Linked DNA regions of Caenorhabditis elegans. The protein of the gene in region 1 purifies or fractionates together with the protein of each later gene. This does not show direct contact. Each region holds a gene or a part of one and is shown in the gene's direction. Other genes may lie near its edges. The genes, in order: rde-10, ergo-1 and rsd-2.

Evidence for each region.
Region 2: the proteins of rde-10 (region 1) and ergo-1 purify together in Caenorhabditis elegans (affinity purification with mass spectrometry, with the first as the bait; 2 studies listed by BioGRID). This does not show direct contact.
Region 3: the proteins of rde-10 (region 1) and rsd-2 purify together in Caenorhabditis elegans (affinity purification with mass spectrometry, with the first as the bait; 2 studies listed by BioGRID). This does not show direct contact.

Annotation. Positions count from the first base shown.
Region 1 is NC_003279.8:3,545,483-3,553,236, forward strand, and holds rde-10 (RNA interference defective protein 10), read left to right. Parts: upstream 1-1,588; 5' UTR 1,589-1,645; coding exon 1,646-1,683; intron 1,684-1,729; coding exon 1,730-1,867; intron 1,868-1,926; coding exon 1,927-2,002; intron 2,003-2,056; coding exon 2,057-2,131; intron 2,132-2,899; coding exon 2,900-3,383; intron 3,384-4,117; coding exon 4,118-4,541; intron 4,542-4,586; coding exon 4,587-4,697; intron 4,698-5,666; coding exon 5,667-5,866; intron 5,867-5,938; coding exon 5,939-6,119; intron 6,120-6,162; coding exon 6,163-6,297; intron 6,298-6,345; coding exon 6,346-6,367; 3' UTR 6,368-6,521; downstream 6,522-7,754. Other genes in the region: Poly(U)-binding-splicing factor rnp-6, read right to left, coding at 293-495, 882-1,040, 1,095-1,259, 1,317-1,412; Y47G6A.21 (DeHydrogenases, Short chain), read right to left, coding at 6,522-6,680. UniProt on the Caenorhabditis elegans protein: In complex with rde-11, required in the endogenous and exogenous siRNA pathway for biogenesis and accumulation of secondary small interfering RNA (siRNA) intermediates, such as 22G-siRNAs derived from ergo-1 targets.
Region 2 is NC_003283.11:1,006,428-1,011,997, forward strand, and holds the start of ergo-1 (Piwi-like protein ergo-1), read left to right. Parts: upstream 1-2,375; 5' UTR 2,376-2,385; coding exon 2,386-3,326; intron 3,327-4,167; coding exon 4,168-4,352; intron 4,353-5,570. UniProt on the Caenorhabditis elegans protein: Argonaute protein required for gene silencing in the endogenous RNA interference (RNAi) pathway.
Region 3 is NC_003282.8:13,536,694-13,542,029, reverse strand, and holds the start of rsd-2 (RSD-2 domain-containing protein), read left to right. Parts: upstream 1-1,764; coding exon 1,765-1,883; intron 1,884-2,371; coding exon 2,372-2,668; intron 2,669-2,715; coding exon 2,716-2,853; intron 2,854-3,355; coding exon 3,356-3,490; intron 3,491-4,347; coding exon 4,348-4,480; intron 4,481-4,535; coding exon 4,536-4,678; intron 4,679-5,336.

The DNA of each region.
Region 1 (7,754 bases):
GGGTAATCGAATTTTATTCACGGATAAGTGTCTGAAAAATCTGAAAAACTGACAAACCAAGTAAACCGATGTTTTTAGCCCGAAAACGCCAAAATATCGAAAATAACTTTGCGCGGGAATTCAAATTTAATTCGGACGTTTCTTTGATTTTTGAAAATTGAAAAAATAATAAAAAATTTAGAAACTTTTTTAACCAGTTATATTCGGTCTCTACTTTTTTCTGTCATTTAAAGCACCAAATTTTTTAAATGACTTTAAATAAAATAATTAAACTAGTAATTTCTCATTTTACCTGAAATATTTCTTCGCATCCTTCTGAACCATATCAATAATCGGCTGAGCCTGTGGCATATTTTGTGGCAATCTCATCTCCTGGAACATCATCGAATTAACTTTAAGATTACGTCCACCGAGCATCTGACCATTCATCGATTCTTGAGCAAGAAGTGCGGCTTCTGGGACTTCGTATTCAACAAATGCGAACGTTTTGTGGTGCTGAAAATGAAATATTTATTAATTTAAGACTAAAAATATGCTCAATTCGTAATAAAACTTCCGTTTAAAACATCAAATATTTGAAAAAAAAGTGTCACAGCTTTTGGAAATTAATTTTTATTCGATTATCATTTTTTTTATTGCATATTTTTATTTAAGTTGTTCATTTAAGTAAATTTAAAGCCAATAGATGACAAAAAATGACCAAAAATTGGATAGAAATTGAGATAAACTATCAAAATCTGCAATAAAAGATGAAAATCGAATGAAAAATAATTTCCAGCTGCTCTGACACGGAAACTTCTGGTAAAATAAAGGACCTTAGATAAAATTAGCTTAATTCTTTCGGAATTTTAAAATAAAATAAGACTTTTTTAAAAACTCACCCCAGTAGCTGGATCCCAGCTCATATTAATAGATTTAATGGGTCCAAATGGGTCAAAAGCCCTGCGAAGCATATCTTCGCGGATTTCAAATGAGATTGAGCCAACATAGATTCTGGACATAATCGATAAAGCTTGTGAGTACATTTGCTGCCGTTGTTGCTGAAATTTTATTGATTATTACGATAATTTCTACTTTTTAAAAATAAAACTAACATTCTCCTGTTGCTGTTTCTGCTGACGAAGAAGAATCTGCTTAATTGAAATGTCCATCGCATACTTTTTCGCCATCTGAATATCATCCTTCCGCTTTGAACTCAATTTCGATAAACCAAGGCCAATTTTTTGAGCGTCTTTCTTACCTCCAGGTCCTACGAACACCTGAAAATAAAATTTGTTTTAAAGTTTCATTAATTTGAACGAATCTAAAGTATTTACCTCTCCATCTTGCGGAAGAACTGGCATTGGCACTGACACTGCCGGCCGAAATGCCGCCACCGGCCTGTTTTCGATGTCTGCCGAGTTTTCTTCCATTTTAAAATGTCTGAAAATATGAAAAATGATTTAAAAAACACAAAAAACACAAATTTCGAAAAATAATAAGAAAAAAGTGTTGAAAATCCGAAAAAAACACGTTCAATATTCGAAAAGAAATAGTGGGCGGAGTCGATAATTGCAACCCTGGCACGGCATTTTTGCAAGTGGTGCGCACATTTTCAAGGACTTTTGCGGACTTTTGCCAGCGTCTAAAATTGATTTTTATGAATATGTCAAATCACAGATCTAATTTTAGAGATTATCAGAGGTTTGCCTTAAATATTGTCCCAATTAATTTTAAAAAATCTCTTCAGAGAGGGCATTCGAGCCAATAATGCCGGCACCTCCGGAGATGCGGTGCGCCAGAACGGAAATCCGATTTCAGTTGCAAAACATGTCGACGGCAAGAAAAGTGTCTACATGCTATTCCTACGCCAGATAGGACAGAAAAAGTAGGAAAATTTCTGAATATATTTTGCGAAAATGTGATTTTTGATATTTTGATGTTTAGATTTCTGACCGAGCAAGGCCACCGATACAATCAGAATGATCAGGCAGACAAGGATATTATGACAAGATATTATCACGTAAAAAAAATAAAGAAAAATTATTATTTTCAAGCCTAATATGTCGGATTTCAGGGAATGTGCCCTGATTTGAAGCAAAAATTCGAGCGAGAAGTTGCCGAGCACAACGGAAATCGGGGGCTTGTAATTGTAGGTTTTTATTGAAAATTTTACTACACCCTGTGGGGAAATTGCTTTAAAACACGCCTATGGTCCCACAATGACCGAATATCATGATAAAAAAATTCAAAAAAATGTTCTAGATTTTATATGATTTTTTGAAAATTGGAAAAATCACAGTTTTCACCTAATTATTTTTGAATTTCCGCCAATTGGATTTGTTCGGTGGAGCGTGCTTGCATTATTTTCATTAATTAATTTTATTTATTCTCGTTATTTCACTGATTTTCTTCATTTTCTATGTTTTTTCTTCGGAAAATGAAAGAAATAAACAAGAAAAATTAAGAATGATCACTAAAAATTAACTGAAACTTCCTAAATCTGTCAAATATTCTAATTTCAGGCTCTTCGTCGTCAGAACTCAGAATATCACAGTTTTACGCATTTTCAGTTAATTTTTAACAAACATTTCGCATTTTCTTGTTTATTTCTTTCATTTTCCGAAGAAAAAACATAGAAAATGAAGAAAATCAGTCAAATAACGAAAATAAATAAAATTAATAAAAAAAAATAATGCAAGCACGCTCCACCGAAAAAATCCAATTGGCGGAAATTCAAAAATAATTAGGTGAAAACTGTGATTTTTCCAATTTTCAAAAAATCATATAAAATCTAGAAAATTTTTTTGAATTTTTTAATCATGATATTCGGTTATTGTGGGACCATAGGCGTGTTTTAAAGCAATTTCCCCACTGAGCGTAGTCCACCTTTAAAGAAAAACTATGTTTTTTTTTTCAGAAAACAAAGCACCAGAGAGCACAGAGAAACCGTGAGATGCGCCACCGAAATCCAGATGAGTTCCAACAGCTCCGACGTGCACATTTGGAGACACTGAGCCAAACTCCAAGTGTTATAGCGTTGCCAAGAGATATAAATCACGTTCTTCACATCACCGAAGATCTCGACGCGTTTTGTCTTGCAAATCGCAAAAAGGCGAAACGAATAATGACTTCATACATTGCTCAGCGTTCTGATGATCCTGGAAATCCGTTGCTTTGCGAGGACTACACAATGCAGATTGTTTCAGTATTTCCGGTTGCCTACGCCTTCAAACCATCAATCAATAAGCTTTCATCGTATCCTGCAGAGATATCCGTTACAACATTCAATCTTAAGAATGGAATCATTCAGAATGAATCGAGATTCGTCAAATTCGATGCAGCTTGGTTTTATCCAGATGCAGATGACATTGGGCACGAGGAATTGTCTAGAAAAGCAATGGGTAGCAAAAAATTCGAAAAGTTGCAGAAGATTGTTTTAAAAATTGAAGAATGGTGCCAAAAACTTTGCAAAAATTGCCGATAATAAGCAAAAGTTGCCGAAAATTAAATGAAAATTGGCAAAACTTCACAAAAATTGCCGAAATTTGGCTAAAATTACCAGAATTTTGCAATAGTTGACGAAAGTTACTGAAAGTTGTCAAAAATTGCCGAATATTTTCAAAAAGTTCGCAAAAATTTATAAAAGTTGCTGAAAATTGTTTTAAAAATTGGAGAATGGGACAATGGTGCTAAAACTTTGCAAAAATAGCGAAAGTATTAATGAAAATTGGCGAAACTTACCGAATTTTGTCAAAACCTTTGCAGAAGTTGGCTAGAGTTTCCAGAAATTTTGGAAAGTTGTTTGAAACTCCTCAAAAAATGCCAAAATTTTGCAATAGTTGTCGAAAATTGGCGAAACTTTACAAAAATTGCCAAAATTTATAAATTTTGCTGAAAATTGAAGAGAAATTGGGGAATGTTGCCAAAACTTTGTAAAATTTCCCGAAAGTTGTCATAAATTGCCGAAAGTTGGCGAAAGTTTCTACAATTTTCGAAAAGTTGTGGAAAGTTGTTTGAAACTTCTCAAAAATTGTCAAAATTTTGCAATAGTGTCGAAAGTTGTCGAAACTTATCGAATGTTGCCGAAAAATTGCCAAAAAAATGCTATAAATGGTCAGTAGCTTAAAATTTTCAGCCGACGAACTGGGAATTTCGCCCAATGGACCCGCCGATGGCTGTGAACCATATGAAGTTTTCGAGTGGCTTCAACACCTTTTAAAACAGCATCCGAAATCTCCGATTCTATGCGATCGAGCTCAATTCAATTTTGTATATTATGGAATCAAGACTCTGGCCACTTACACTGGAATCAATGCCATCACATTCTTCCAAGAAGTCATCATTCCTAGTATTCTGAGCATTCAGGATTTTACAAGTGTAATACTCGAAAAAGCGCCGACGGATGTCCCCCGTGTCTGGAGAGATGTTGATATTTGTAATCAATTTCAATATCATTTTCTCATTCCCAGAACTGAATTGAACCTATTCTGCAGTTTTCATGAGAATAAACCATCGCCTACGAAATACAATTGCGTCAAGGCTCATAATGCAAGACTATTGTAACATTTTTTGCAGTGATTTTCAAGATAAAACACATTTTACAGAGACAATTTTTTCACTGTAATAAAGGGGAACCGGCTTCAAGGATTCGTGATTTCGCCGCCAGTTCATGAGATTTGCATTCAAGACGGGAGTGACACAAGTTTGCCTCAAACGTACGGAAAAACGAAAATTTTCGATTTTTCGATTATCCGAAAATACAAAAATGTAAAAAATAAGTTCAGAAAATTAACCATAAAAAAGTTTAAATTGATCAGAAAAAAACATAAAAATTTATTCTAAAAAGAAGAAAATACCAAAAATTATAAGCTAATTTTTGACAAATCGAAAAAACTAAAAATTTTCGATATCTCGATTTCAAAAAAAATCGAAAATTTTCGATTTTTCGATTATCCGGAAAATCGGAGAAAAAATCTGAAAATTAACCATAAAAGATGATTTTTTTGAATCTAATTTCGTCTAAATTGGTGAGAAAAAAACATACAAAAAATGTATTCTAAAAATAAGAAAAAAAACCATAATGACCAAAAGTCGGTTTTTTCTAAAATTTTCGTTTTTTTATTTTTCCGATTTTTCGATATTTTTGAGGGAAAATCGAAAAATTGGAAATCGAAAACAGAAATTTTTGATTTTTCGTTTTTTTTTTCAAAAATAGAAAAATCAAAATTTTTTTGATTTTCGATTTTTAAAAAAAAAATCATGAGAAAAAACATAAAAATTTATTCTAAAAAGAAGAAATGTTTTCGAAAAAGAAAATTTTCGATTTTAAATTTTTTCCGAAAAACCTTTTTTTTTTAAATCCAGAAAAATTAACCATAAATTATGATTTTTTAAAAATTTAATTTGGTCTAAATTGATGAGAAAAAACATAAAATTTTATTCTAAAAAGAAGAAAAAATACCAAAATGACCAGAAGTCGATTTTTCAAAAATCGAAAAAATTTATGTTTTTCCATTTTTCGATGTTTTTGAGGGAAAATCAAAAAATCGAACTACGAAATTTTTTCGATTTTTCGTTTTTTTTTTCAAAAATAGTAAAATTAAAATTCACAGAAAAAACAAAACATTCTCTGCAGTTCCCAGAAATTTCGAAAATTAAATGAGCGTCTATAGATATTTTTCCAGAATCTTGGCAAGAACAATATCCCGTAATGACGCCGAAGTCTACGCCGCCAGGCAGAGAGATACCGATGAACAATATGACGTCCATCAAGAAGGTCCATCTAATCATGATCAATACGAATTCGCATCTGAACCACTGGATTTCGAAGAAGATTCTGATGAGGAAAACTACAATGAACAGCTTGATGTTCCTTATTCTTACAGTAAGAATTTTTCTCGAAAATTCTGAATTTTGAAAGTTTGAAAATTAATTTTTTTTTTATTTTTAATTTCAGACGATCACTTCATCAGCTCATCATCTGTTCGTGAGCCAGAGCATCCCAGTGCAAGATCAAGAGATGTTGCTCCAAATGTTCAACAAGAATCTGTTGTGGTTCCGGCTCCAAGGCGATTGTCGCCACAGCGAGCTCCACGCCCGTCACAAAATAGTCCGAATGCTTATTCTGAACGCAAAAGGTTCGTCGTAAATTAAAGAAAATAAATTTTTTTTAATTTTCAGTTTTTCCGCGTTTCCATCCGAAGATCCATCTGAAGATTATGAAACCCCAATAATCAGTCATATCATGAATCGAAACGAAGCGGATCAATATTTCAATATTCTGGATTCGGTGAAACCGGGACAGAAATATAAGATGTAAGTGTATATAATAAAAAATTTTTAATAGTTTTTATATTATTTCAGAATCAAGTTCGACGACTTCTAAACGGAAACCCCTCACACATTCATTTCATGGTATTAAATATAAGCATTCTAAAATCCTAATTGTACTAATAGTATTATACATGATATACTCTGTCTGTCTGCTTGGTACAAATTTACTTCATTCTCAATTTTCAAAACAATAAATCATATATTCTTTATCTCGGATGCATAATTCCTCGACCACCATCAACCTTCAACAGTTGTCCAGTAGTGAATGAGCTCTTCTCAGAGGACAGGAATAGGATAGCTTCAGCTACTTCGGATGTAGTTCCAGGACGGCCGAGTGCGTGGGTCGTCTTGCTTTTCTCGAGGAACTGGAATTTCGTTGAAAGTATTATTACGCCAACACAAACTGCTGAGACTGCGTACTGCGCAACATATTTGACGCGCAAAATATCTCATAGCGCAAAACTATAGTCATTATTTAAATTACTACTGTAGTGTCGATTTACGGGCTCGGTTTTCGACACAAGAGCTACTCGGTAGTTGGCTCCTCCTGGGGCGCGAAGGGGGTGCGACTGGCGCGCGAAAAGAGGTGAAATGCGCCTGGCGCGAGGATAGGGCGTGACTGGAGTGCGGAACAGGCGCGCTCGGATTGTGAAAAGAGTATTCTGAAACTGCCAAAGTGTCTACATAAGATGTATTAATCAATTTCTTGCGAACATATTATTGCTTTGAGACATATTTTCAAACAAAAGTGAATTTTGTTCGTTCTATACTTTAATTGTAAACGTTTTGCAGACATGCTAGTTACTGAAAAACCAAAACTTCAATTTAAATTCTGATATGAGGTTAGAAGAGAACAATATGGTTCATCTTACAAGGAAATTGCATTAAAATCTACTGTTATCTAATGATGTTACGTTATAAAATATGTTCATTTTACCTATGCAGATAAAGTTAAGGGGCCTCAAATATATCAAGAATTACAATTAGTCGGAAGTCGTTTCAACACCATTCATCATGTCCTGGTTCTGCTACTTGATCGTTACACAACGTATATCGCGATGTCTTGAGAATGTCTCCATCTCAGATAAACGTTTTCGCTTCTATTTAGAAGAAAAAAGCAGATATATTTAGAAATGGCGCTAGCTCCTAACACGACATAATTAGAAATGCTTTTTCATCTAAATAGCAGAGCTTTTTAACTAAATAGGTCTACTTCTTCTAATTAGAAGTACCTTTTTGTTCTAAATAGGTCTACTCTTTTCTAAATATAAGCGCATTTTTCTTCTAAATATGTCTACTTCTTCTAATTAGAAATACCTTCTTCTTCTAAATAGTTCTACTCTTTTCTAAATATAAGTGCGTTTTGCTTCTATTTAGACTCGGTTTTCGCCTCCTATATAGACTCGGAATTTTTAAAAGTGAATTGTTGGAAAATGTGA
Region 2 (5,570 bases), on another chromosome or scaffold:
TTCTCGGGTGTGTTGCGTTGTTGGACACAACTTTTCTGGTGCCGAAAATCTGCCGTTTATTGTGGTATCATTCAGCTGTCGACTTTTTGTTTTCTTCGTCTGATTTCTTCGTCCACCATGGTTTTGCAAGTGTTCTAGTTTCGCCTTTACGAGGAATTTCTTCCAAAACCTTCGAAACCTAGATAGAGAGAAATTCTATACTTCGAGATTCAATATCTTGATTCGAAGGTTACATTTCCCGCGCAATTGAGGCAATACATCGATCTTCGTCTCAAACACTTTTCGCTCAGATTTTGCCAAGACTTTGCTTTTTTAGACCAAAAATGGTAAAAAACTACCAAATTTCGTAATGAGACGTTCTGAAAATGTTTCAAAAAAAGTTATGGCCGCTCAAAGTTTTGGGAAAAATGGTCAATTTATAGCTAAAATCTCAAATTTTGGCAACTTATCGGTGTCGCAGCGGCTGGAACTTGAATTTTATTAGATTGTCATCCTTTAATGTACGTTTTCTCAATTTATTAGGCGTTATTTCGTTAATTGAGATGTTTTTTTGGTCGATGCGGGCACAAACTTGTATCGTATTTGTGCCCGCATCGACCGAAAAAGCATTTCAATCAACGAAATAACACCTAATAAATTACGAAAACGTGTATTAAAAGATGATAATTAAGTAAAAATTAAGTTCCAACCGCTGCGATACGGAAAAGCTGCCAAAATTTGAGATTTTAGTAGAAATAGCCCATTTTTTCCAAAACTTTGAGCGGCTATAACTATTTTTTTTGAAAATTTTCAGAATGTCTCCTTACGAAATTTGGTAGTTTTGGAACATTTTGGGTCTAAAAAGGAAAAGTTTCAAATTTCGGTACTCCACCTTTAAAGTGACCAGGTTGCGGCGTATCTGTACTCCATTTCAAGCACATTTGCACACGTGTGTACACGTGATGTCATAGTGTCTCATTTCGGCTTGATCTACGTAGATCTACAAAGAAGAAGATCTACAAGAATCAGCGATTCGCTCGAACACTGCCCACTCCGTCTGATTGGTTTAAAAGTGGGCATAGCGAATCGTTGATTGGTAAGGTTTTTTTTTTTGAATTGAAAAAAAGCAAATATAGGCAAAATTTTCAATCCTACTAGTTGTATTTCATGCTTCTTTCGTAGTTTTTTGTTGGAATTGGAGACGATTTCGGATTTTTTAAAAAGCAAAATCTTCATTCACACTACTCCTCATTTATGCAAGTTAGGTATTCCACTCTCATAAACTCATCAGATGCTCTTTTTCTCTTAATTCTCAACCCATTAAAGGAGGACTAACGGTTCGGACGATTTTGAACGTATGGACCCAAAATGGGCTCAAATGAACGAATTTCGTAATGAAACTGCACAAAAATTTTTCAAAAATTTTTTATGGCGGTTCAAAATTTTGGAAAAAATTACGCTGATTTTGGCTAAAATCACGAATTTTTCCCATTTTTCCGTGTCACATCTGTTCGAAAGTGGATTTTTTGGAATTATCTTCCTTTATTACATATATTGGTAATTAATCTCATTTGATTTCGTCGATTAAGGTACATTTAAAGCCGATAGGTAACCAAAAATCATCGAAATTGATTACCTATCGGCTTTAAATGTACCTTAACCAACGAAATTAAATGAGATAAACTACCAATATATGCAAGAAAGGATGATAATTCCGAAAAAGTCAACTTCGGACCGATGTGACACGGAAAAATAGGCAAAATTCGAGATTTTAGCTATAATCAGTGTAATTTTTTTCGAAATTTTAAACCGCCATAAAAAATTTTTGAGAATTTTTTTGAGAAGTTTCATTACGAAATTCGTTAATTTGAGCTCATTTTGGGTCTATATCAGGGGTGAGCGGCAATCGGCGATCGGCGATTTTCGTGATTTTTCGGCGATCGCCGATGAAATTTTATAGTCCACGATAGACCCCTCTGAAGAAGGAAAAAGGTATATTTTCGGACTATTTTTCACTACTTTTCGAATTTTAAGGTATCAAGGAGTGCTTTTCGTTGCCTAATATTCCTGTTTTTATGAAAAATTATTTGAAAGAGCTCTTAAAATTAAGATTTTAAAATTGAAAAAAATTAGACGCACACTGATCGGCAATCGGCGATCGCCGATTTTTTTTTGGCAATTTGTGATCGCCGATCGCCGAAAAAAAAAAGTTTCGGCGAACGCCGATCGCCGATCGCCGATTTTTTTGGGCGGCTGCTCAGCCCTGGTCTATACGTTGAAAATTGTCCGAACCGTTAGTCCTCCTTTCAAGCAAAAAATTTTTTTTGACTCTACTCCACCTTTAAGATGCTCTTTTTCTCTCAATTATCGGCCCACTAATCTCTTCTCACTTCCAGACTAACAAAAATGAGCTATAACAACGGCGGCGGCGGCGGTGGTGGTGGCTATCGAAACGATCGTGACGATCGCTACCATAACAACGATCGGCAAAATTACCGCAGCAGTGACCAAGGTCGCTCCGGATACAACGACGATCGTCGGGACAATCGCTACGATGATCGTCGCGGCTCCAACAACGATCGTGGCTGCTACGATCAACATGATCGTCGTGGATCCTCCAACGATGATCGTAGAGGTTATCGTGGATACAACCAGGGTGGTGGAGGATATCAACAGCAATACAGTCAGGATGCCAGATATGGATCCAATCAGAGAAATGACAATTATGGAAATAATCGTGGAAGTCACGGCGGCGCGAACATGTACAGCCAAAACGGTGGAAACCGCGGAGGAGGAGGAGGACGTGTCGGTGGTGGCCGAACCGCTGCCGGTATGTCGAATCCTGGAGATCTCGTCGGAGGTGCCGACCAGCCGATCCATTCAGTTTCGAAAAAGTCGCTCAGACACAACGCCCAGGAGTTTGCAGTCCGGCCGAAAACAATGGTCCAGGATAAGGGTCTCGGCCAGAAGACGACACTTTTGACGAATCACACGTTGGTGCAACTCCCGCAGGAGCCCATCACGCTTCACGTCTTCAATATTGAAGTATTTATTAATGGAAAGTCTAGCAATAAGCGAGAACTTTGTGGGCCACGATTTTGGGAAATTTTGAAGGAGAATAAGCCCACTTTTGGCATGCCAAATCAGTACATCTTCAATGATGTGAATATGATGTGGTCGACGAATAAGCTGAGACAATCCGAGGGAAGAACTAATAACCGGAGAATGAATTTCGTTTGGAAATATGTGAAACAAATCAAGTTTGGAGGAAATATTGAGGATGAGGAGACCATGCAGCTTTTGTCAACACTTATTGATGCGATTGCAACGCAGAGAGCTCGCTTGCCGTTAGTTTTTGCCGATTTTCCATAGATTTTCAATTCCGGCCATTGGCCGATTTGCCGGAAATTTTCAATTACGGCAATTTGCCCTTTTTCCAGAAAATTTTCATTTTTGGCAATTTGCCCTTTTTCCGAAAATTTTAATTCCGGCAAATTGCAGATTTGGCGGATTTTTTTATTTTCGGCAAATTGCTACTTTTCCGGAAATTTTCAATTCTGGCAAATTGCTGATTTGACGGAAATTCCGGCAAGTTGCCGATTTTTCCGGAAATTTTCAATTCCGGTATTTTGCCGATTTGCCGGAAATTTCCATTCCGGTATTTTGCCGATTTGCCGGAAATTTTCAATTCCGGCAATTGGCCGTTTTTCCGGAAAATTTTCAATTCCAGCAAATTGTCAATTTGCCGGAAATTTCAATTCCGGTTTTTGCCAATTTTCCGGAAATTTTCAATTCCGGCAATTTGCCGATTTTTCCGGAAATTTTCAATTCTGGCAAATTGTCAATTTTCCGGAAATTTCAATTCCGGTATTTTGCCGATTTGCCGGGAATTTCAGTTCCGGTATTTTGCCGATGATCCGGAAATTTTCAATTCCAGCAAATTGCCGATTTGCCGAGAAAGAGAATGTCCGGGAAACCGGCAATTTGTCGAAAATGAAAATTTCCGGCATATCGGAAAATTGCCGGAATCGAAAATTTTCGGCAAATCGGAAAATTGCCGGAATCGAAAATTTCCGGCAAATCGGCAATTGATTCTCAGTGCAACAAAAGGCTCACTTTATTAATAATCTGCTAGAGGAAAATTTCCAATTAAAACACTTTTTTCAATTTCAATTTCCAATATTTCAGACTTGCCCCACCAAAGTACACTGTGTTCAAAAGATTAACATATCTAATTTGCGAAGAAGCGTACGAACCCGAGCTTCCGGATGTGTCACTGTGTCATAAACTGAGAATTGGTACAGACGCGAGAGTTGGAGTTTCGATTGCTATTCGCACAAATCTGAGAGCCGGAATCACTGCATGCTTTGATCGTGAGTTTTTTGCAGAGATTTCTTGACAATTTTCAGCCGACGACATCCCCGAATTAAACCCCTATTTCATTTGAAAGAGGATCTTCGAATTAGGTTCCTACAAAAATTTTAGCCACAAAGAAGAATTTTGAACTGGCAAACAGTCGATTTGAATTTTTTTTTCATTTAATTTTTTGCAACTTTATTTCACTAGGCTTGAAAAATTGCTCCAAATGTGGATTTTTGCAGGCTTTTAGCGATTTCAAGACTCCATAGAGGCAAAAAAAACACTGGAAACTTTGAAAAAAACATTAGTATTTGAAAAAGCTTGCAAAGTGATTTTGCCTACCCCAATACATCCTTAAAATCGCCAAAAGTCTGCAAAAAACCCAGATTTGTAGTAATTTTACAAGCTATGTGCTCCTCTGCTTTTAAAATTATTATATGAACACAAAATTCTGAGAATGCGTATTGCGCAAAATATCTCGGAGCGAAAACTACAGTAATCCTTTAAATTACTACTGTAGCGCTTGTGTCGATTTATGGGCTCGATTTTTTGAAATTAATTTATTTTTGAATTGTGACAGCGACATTTGCTTAATTTTAATACAGTGCATTTTTCCCCACTTTTACGACTTTAAAGGCGCGCGCATTTTCGCGCAATGGTCTCGCCACGTGCATCCCATTGATTTGTTGAGCGCGTGGCGAGATCAATGCCGGGACCATTTTGCATAAATGCGCGCGCCTTTAAAGTCGTACAAGTGGGAAAAAAATGCACTGTATGCATTCTATCAATAAATAAAAAATGTTATTACCTTCGTAAATCGAGCCCGTAAATCGACATAAGCGCTACAGTAGTAATTTAAAGGATCAATGTAGTTTTCGCTGCGAGATATTTTGCGCGTCAAATATGTTGTGTAATATGCATTCTCAGAATTTTTATGTTCCCGTAATATTGTAGCCACCTAATTGTGAAGGCCCCCCACGTTCGAAAAGCATAGGTTTTATTCGGATGTCTAGAACAAGGATGTGCGGCAAATTTCAAAAAAAAGTGGACTTGCCGAATTGCCGCAAAATTAAAAATTTTTTTTTTTTAATTTTCCCAAAACTAAAGGTTTTGATCAGAATCTTAATGAAAGAAAAATTAACCATTTTAACACTTTTTGAGCTCCAAAAAGTATTGCGATTTACCGAGTATGACGACAATGGGAAATTTGCCGAATTTGCCGAGTTGGCCAT
Region 3 (5,336 bases), on another chromosome or scaffold:
ACTCTAACACCACGTGCGGTCACAGCTTGAAGGTACCGTGAGCAACTGGAAAAACATTGCACTATACCCCTCTTATTGCTTGGCCTAAAAAATTACATATCAAACTCCTCCTCCTCCTGGGAGGACACCTATTTCTCTGCGTCTCTCACCGTCTTTTGACTTGCAGCATTATTCATTTCCTGCCCGTGATTATTTCCATTTCCTCTTCTTTTCCGTGTCTCCATTTTTTGGAATATTATCTATTTTCATTCGATTTCCAACGTTTCCAAAAAGTTAGGTTTTGCTACTTGCTGAATTCATTTCAGCTGAATATTGCTGAATATTCAGCTGAATATTAAATTTGGTAATTTTCCCGAAAATAGGCTGTAACCTATAGAAGTAACTTTAATAGGATTCCAAACTCTCTTTGATAATGGAAGAATGACCGGAAAACCCTCGTTTAGCTGTTGATTTAAAATTCTAAAGATTTAAGAGTTTTTGGACGATTTTTTTCAAAATTAAAATTGCCGATTTATGTTTGTTCATGTTAAAAGTTATAGATAGATTTAAAAAAAACTCTTTTTTGGCTACAGTAACTTCTTCAATCAGAACTTGTGGCAACAAGCCTTCCAAGTAGGCAAGAAAATTCCTGCCTACTTCATGCCTACATGCCTACTGTCAAGCTATAAAAAACATGGTACAAACTGTAGGCAGGCGTGGTGTGGCTACGTAGGTATGAGAATGTGTCTATCGTAGAGGAACCGATCAATTAGCCTAGTGTGATATAAGATTAGTATTTCAAAAAAAATGTATTGGATTTCTTTATTTTTTTGTATTTATGGTGTTTTTGCCATTTTAGTGCTCGGTAACTTGTAACGAGCGCAATAAAAAATTACATTATCAGGTTCAGGCCTAAGGTCATCTGTCGTAAATCATGACAACAGAGCAAACGACCAGTTGTCTATTTCTCTATTCTCTCTCTTTTCTCTCTCTTTTATTCGATTTGAAAGTTGCTTTTTTTTTTGGTTTTTTTTTCGTTTTTTCGTAGAAAGTTTGGCACTTCTTAACGCCTCAAAAATTAATATTTAGATCAGATAATAATCTTTCATAACTGGACAGGTGTCTGAGGTATTACGAAAATTTGAAAAAAAAAACATTCTACGCGACCTATTTTTTTTTCTAATTTATAGGTTGTTCTATGGTAGACAGGCAAGTTCTGATGCCTACACCATGCCTGAATGTAGGTCTACGTGCCTACCTCACGCCTACCGGTACGCCTACCTGCCTGCCTACTCACCTTACGCAAAAAAGAAAAATACAAAAATATCCCATACCTCACGCCTGCTTGCATACGTGGTTACACTTTTGCCTGATTTCCGGTGTTTCTTTTAGTTTACCAGTAGGCATGTAGGCAGGCATTTTGTGGAAGGTTTCGGGTTCAAAAATTGTGTTGTTTTTTATTTCTAAAAATTTGTTTTTCTCGCCGGTAACCTGTTTCTCACACTTTGATCTTTTTTTTTTGTTTTTTTTTGTTTTTTCTTTGCACACAGTCAGAATGTCTTATTTCGGTTTGATCTTCAAAAAATGCGGGAGGTGAGACGCAGACGTCTCATCTGATTTCGCATGGATGAGAACGTGCTGACGTCACAACTTTTCTGGAAAAATATTCCCACATTTTTTGTAGATGAAACTGTAACGAGACAGTCTGACACCACTTGCTTGAATCTCTCGTCCCCCCGTCATTCTAACGCTATTTTTTCAAATTTTTTGTAATATCTCAGCATAATGTCCTCCTGCCGAGTACTCATCCTGCACCATGATCAAGAAAATGACGTCTTTGGCTGTTTTAAAAGGGAGAGCCACGAGTTCTTTTGGGCTCGCATCGAAGGGCAGCAACAATTGGAGTAAGTTGAACACACCTTTATGAGTGGAGATAGAAGAATGGCCGTGAAAAAACTCTAACACGGCCATGTGTCGATTTACGCAGCGAGTGTTCTCCTCGAGGAGAAGGTTTTACAGATTTTGAGTGGAAATTGTCGAGTTTGAATTTTTTTTAAATTAAACACTTTTTAAAATTATTAATTTATTTCGTAAACGTAGGCAAGTTGTTGCCCACTTCTGGGAAAAATTTAAATTTTAATTATTTTAGGTTGTTAAACGCGCTCTATTGATGAACCGTTGTGTACTCCATTTTTTCGCGTTTTTCTTACACTTTAAATTGAAAAAAAAAGATAAATAAAATATTAATCAGCAATTTAAATCTGAAATTTAAAACAATTTATCGGAAATGATCTACAATCAAGAATTTTACTGCAAAAATTAACAGTTCTCCACGAGGAGTACACATACAGCGTAAATCGACACATGGCCGTGCACTTTTATCATTTTTCAGGCCCCGGCCAGGTTTTTTCCTGACCTTCATCGAAAATGAGGTGATGACAGAAGATGGGGTAATGAAAATTGATGCCAGCACCTCAACCATCAAAGAACCTGAACCGGCAGATTGTGTAATCCTACCCACTCATACAAATGAACAGGTCGTATATTACAAGAGCTGGATAGCTTTCGGTGACAATCCGAACTATCTCACCTATAACAGAGATCTGGGGTACGCGGATTGGTATGGAATCGTTGATTGTTCGGATTCTCCACCTACCGGACCAGGAGTTTATAAAGCGTTCATTTATGTGTACGTTTTCAGGGGTTATCATCCAAAAAGTCGATCATTAATTGCAGAAATGACCTAAACTACCAAGAAAGCGGAAATCCACTTTTCAAAGTGACCGGGCGACTCAAATTTTTGGCAAACAAAGACACATCTGACACCATGATGAAACTGGAAATTTTCGAGCAAAACAGACTTGAAGAATTAAGGTAATTTTGATAGACTTTCGTGAATTTATCTGAATTCTAGACCTGAAAATGTTAATAAAAATTTCATGTGGGCTACAGTAGTTGTCCGTGACTTTGCGTCACAGTGTTTGCACACGATGATTTGTTTTTGTTTTTTTTGCCTTTTCAGATTGTTCTCATCTTGAAAGATGTTTTTTTAATATTTTAAACGCATTTTTCAAATGAGAAATCTGATTTTTCAACAAAAAATGCTGTATATTACTGATTTTACCATCCTAAACTCGTCAAATTTGATGAAAAATCGAGTATTTTCAAAAAAATTTGGTTTTGAAGGCGTTTTTCGGCGCAAAAAGCGGAATATTTCGTATTTAGAGTTAAAATATTTATATTTTTCTTTTTTTCGAGACGCAGACGACCACAGCCTTGAATTTTCCACGCGCATCCCCTTCACACACACACATAAACTTCAGTTTTTCTCGCGAAAAGTGCCTCAAGATTCGCTTTAAAATATGGAAATTAACAGGTTATCACCGAAAAAGATGAGCGATTCACAAGTGATCGCAATTATTCTATTTGACAACGAGGAGACAAATTCTGCGATCTGTTATTCTGAACAATTGGAATCTTCAATAAAAGTTCATCTTCCAGTCGGCTCTCCGTAAGATTTTATGTATTTCTAATCGAAAAATCGTGTTTTAAATCATTTTTTACAGTAAAAAACTGGAAAACTCGAATATCCGGGGTTTTTTGGCGAAATTTTGCCAAAATTGCCAATTTTGAAGCATTTTTCTGTGAAGTTTGCGTTTTTTATATGACGTTTTCACAGAGAAAATGGTTTTGAATTTAAATATTCTGCTATCTCTTAATTTTCCCTAAAAAATCAAGTTTTTTCATGAGAAATCGGGAAAATTTGAGTCTCAAGGGAAAAATCTCGGAAAAAGAGCGTTTTAAATTGAAAACGAGCAATTTTTACTGAAAAATCGGGATTTTCAGTTAAAAATTACAATTTCGAGCAAAATTACTCAGTTTCCGCCGATTTTTCCGGGGTTTTTTCTTTTTTACCACTTAAAAAGTGGTTTTGAGCTGTTCGTGAGCTTTCTCCAATTTTAAAGCATTTTTCTGTGAAATTTGCGCTTTTTAAGACTTTTTCACAGAAAAATAGGTTTTAAATTCAAATATTCGGCTATTTCTAAATTTTCCGTCAAAAAAATCAAGTTTTTAGGTGAGAAATTGCTGAAAACGGGATTTTTTTGTAAAAGATCTCAGAAAAAATGTTTTAAATTGGAAAAGAGCAATTTTTCGAGCGTATTTCAGAAAAATCGGAATTTTTCGTTTATTTAGTCCAGGAAATCCAATTTTTGCGTTATTTGATGTAAAAAATAGCATTTTCGAGCAAAATTATCAAATTTCCCATGATTTTTCTCGAATTTTCACACGAAAACCTCGAATTTTAGGTTTTTACCACTCAAAATACCGTTTTGAACTGTTCCTCAGTTTTAATTTCCAAATTTTCAGAGCAAAAGCCGGTCAACTCATACTTTTCACCGAGTACAACTACGAAAATGATACATATTTCCCTGATCCCCGGCCGGATGCTATAGAATACAGAGAATGTGAGATGACGAGAATTGAAAATGGCGAATTATTGGTTAGCTTTCTTCTTTTTTTTCGATATTCAGCAATATAAAATGGTATATTTTCAGATCTCTGCAAAAGCGGCATGTTCATCGATTGAAACTCACATTACTTATCCTCAGAGTGTTGCATTTGCTGATACATTTGGAAAAGTTAATGTTGCAGCAGAATCGATGGAACGAGGTGTCACGTATAGAGTGGAGTTGGCAATGTGTGTATTTTTATCGAAATTGGTGGAGCGAAATCTCCTGAAAAAACGGCTAAATTTGGCTGAAAATCACCCTCACAAAAAAACTTAAATTCGCATTCTTACTCGAAATAGGGATAAATTCTAATTAAAATCTAGAATTTTGCCAACTTTTTCTAAATTGTAGCTATCGAAAATTAATTTTCACCCAATTTCTCCACTGTTTGGCACAAAAAACTTGAAAAATTCTATTAAAGTTTCAGTACCGAAATCTGAGAAATATATTTTTAAATTACTTCAAATTTTCCCCAGATTCCGAATATCTCAATGAAAAAATTCAAAAAAATTTTCCTGATTTTATATTTCAACTTGAAATCGCTTGTTCACCCATGAGATTTTTCAAACGCCGAATTTTCGCGCCAGAGATGTCATGTGTCGATTTACGAGATTTGTGTATATTTACGAGATTTTCAATCTTTATCGGATGCTGATTTCCATTTTTCAAAGAGTTTTCTTCGTTTTCGTCGGTATTTGCCATTTTTTTTTTGAAAAGGTGTTTTTAAAGGGGGAGTAGAGTTTGTGAGGAAATATATGTTTCTGACTCTAATTGTGCTCCTGATACCGAATATCGATGTGAAAGAAATTAAAAAAATTTCCCTGATTTTATATTAATTTTTAAAAT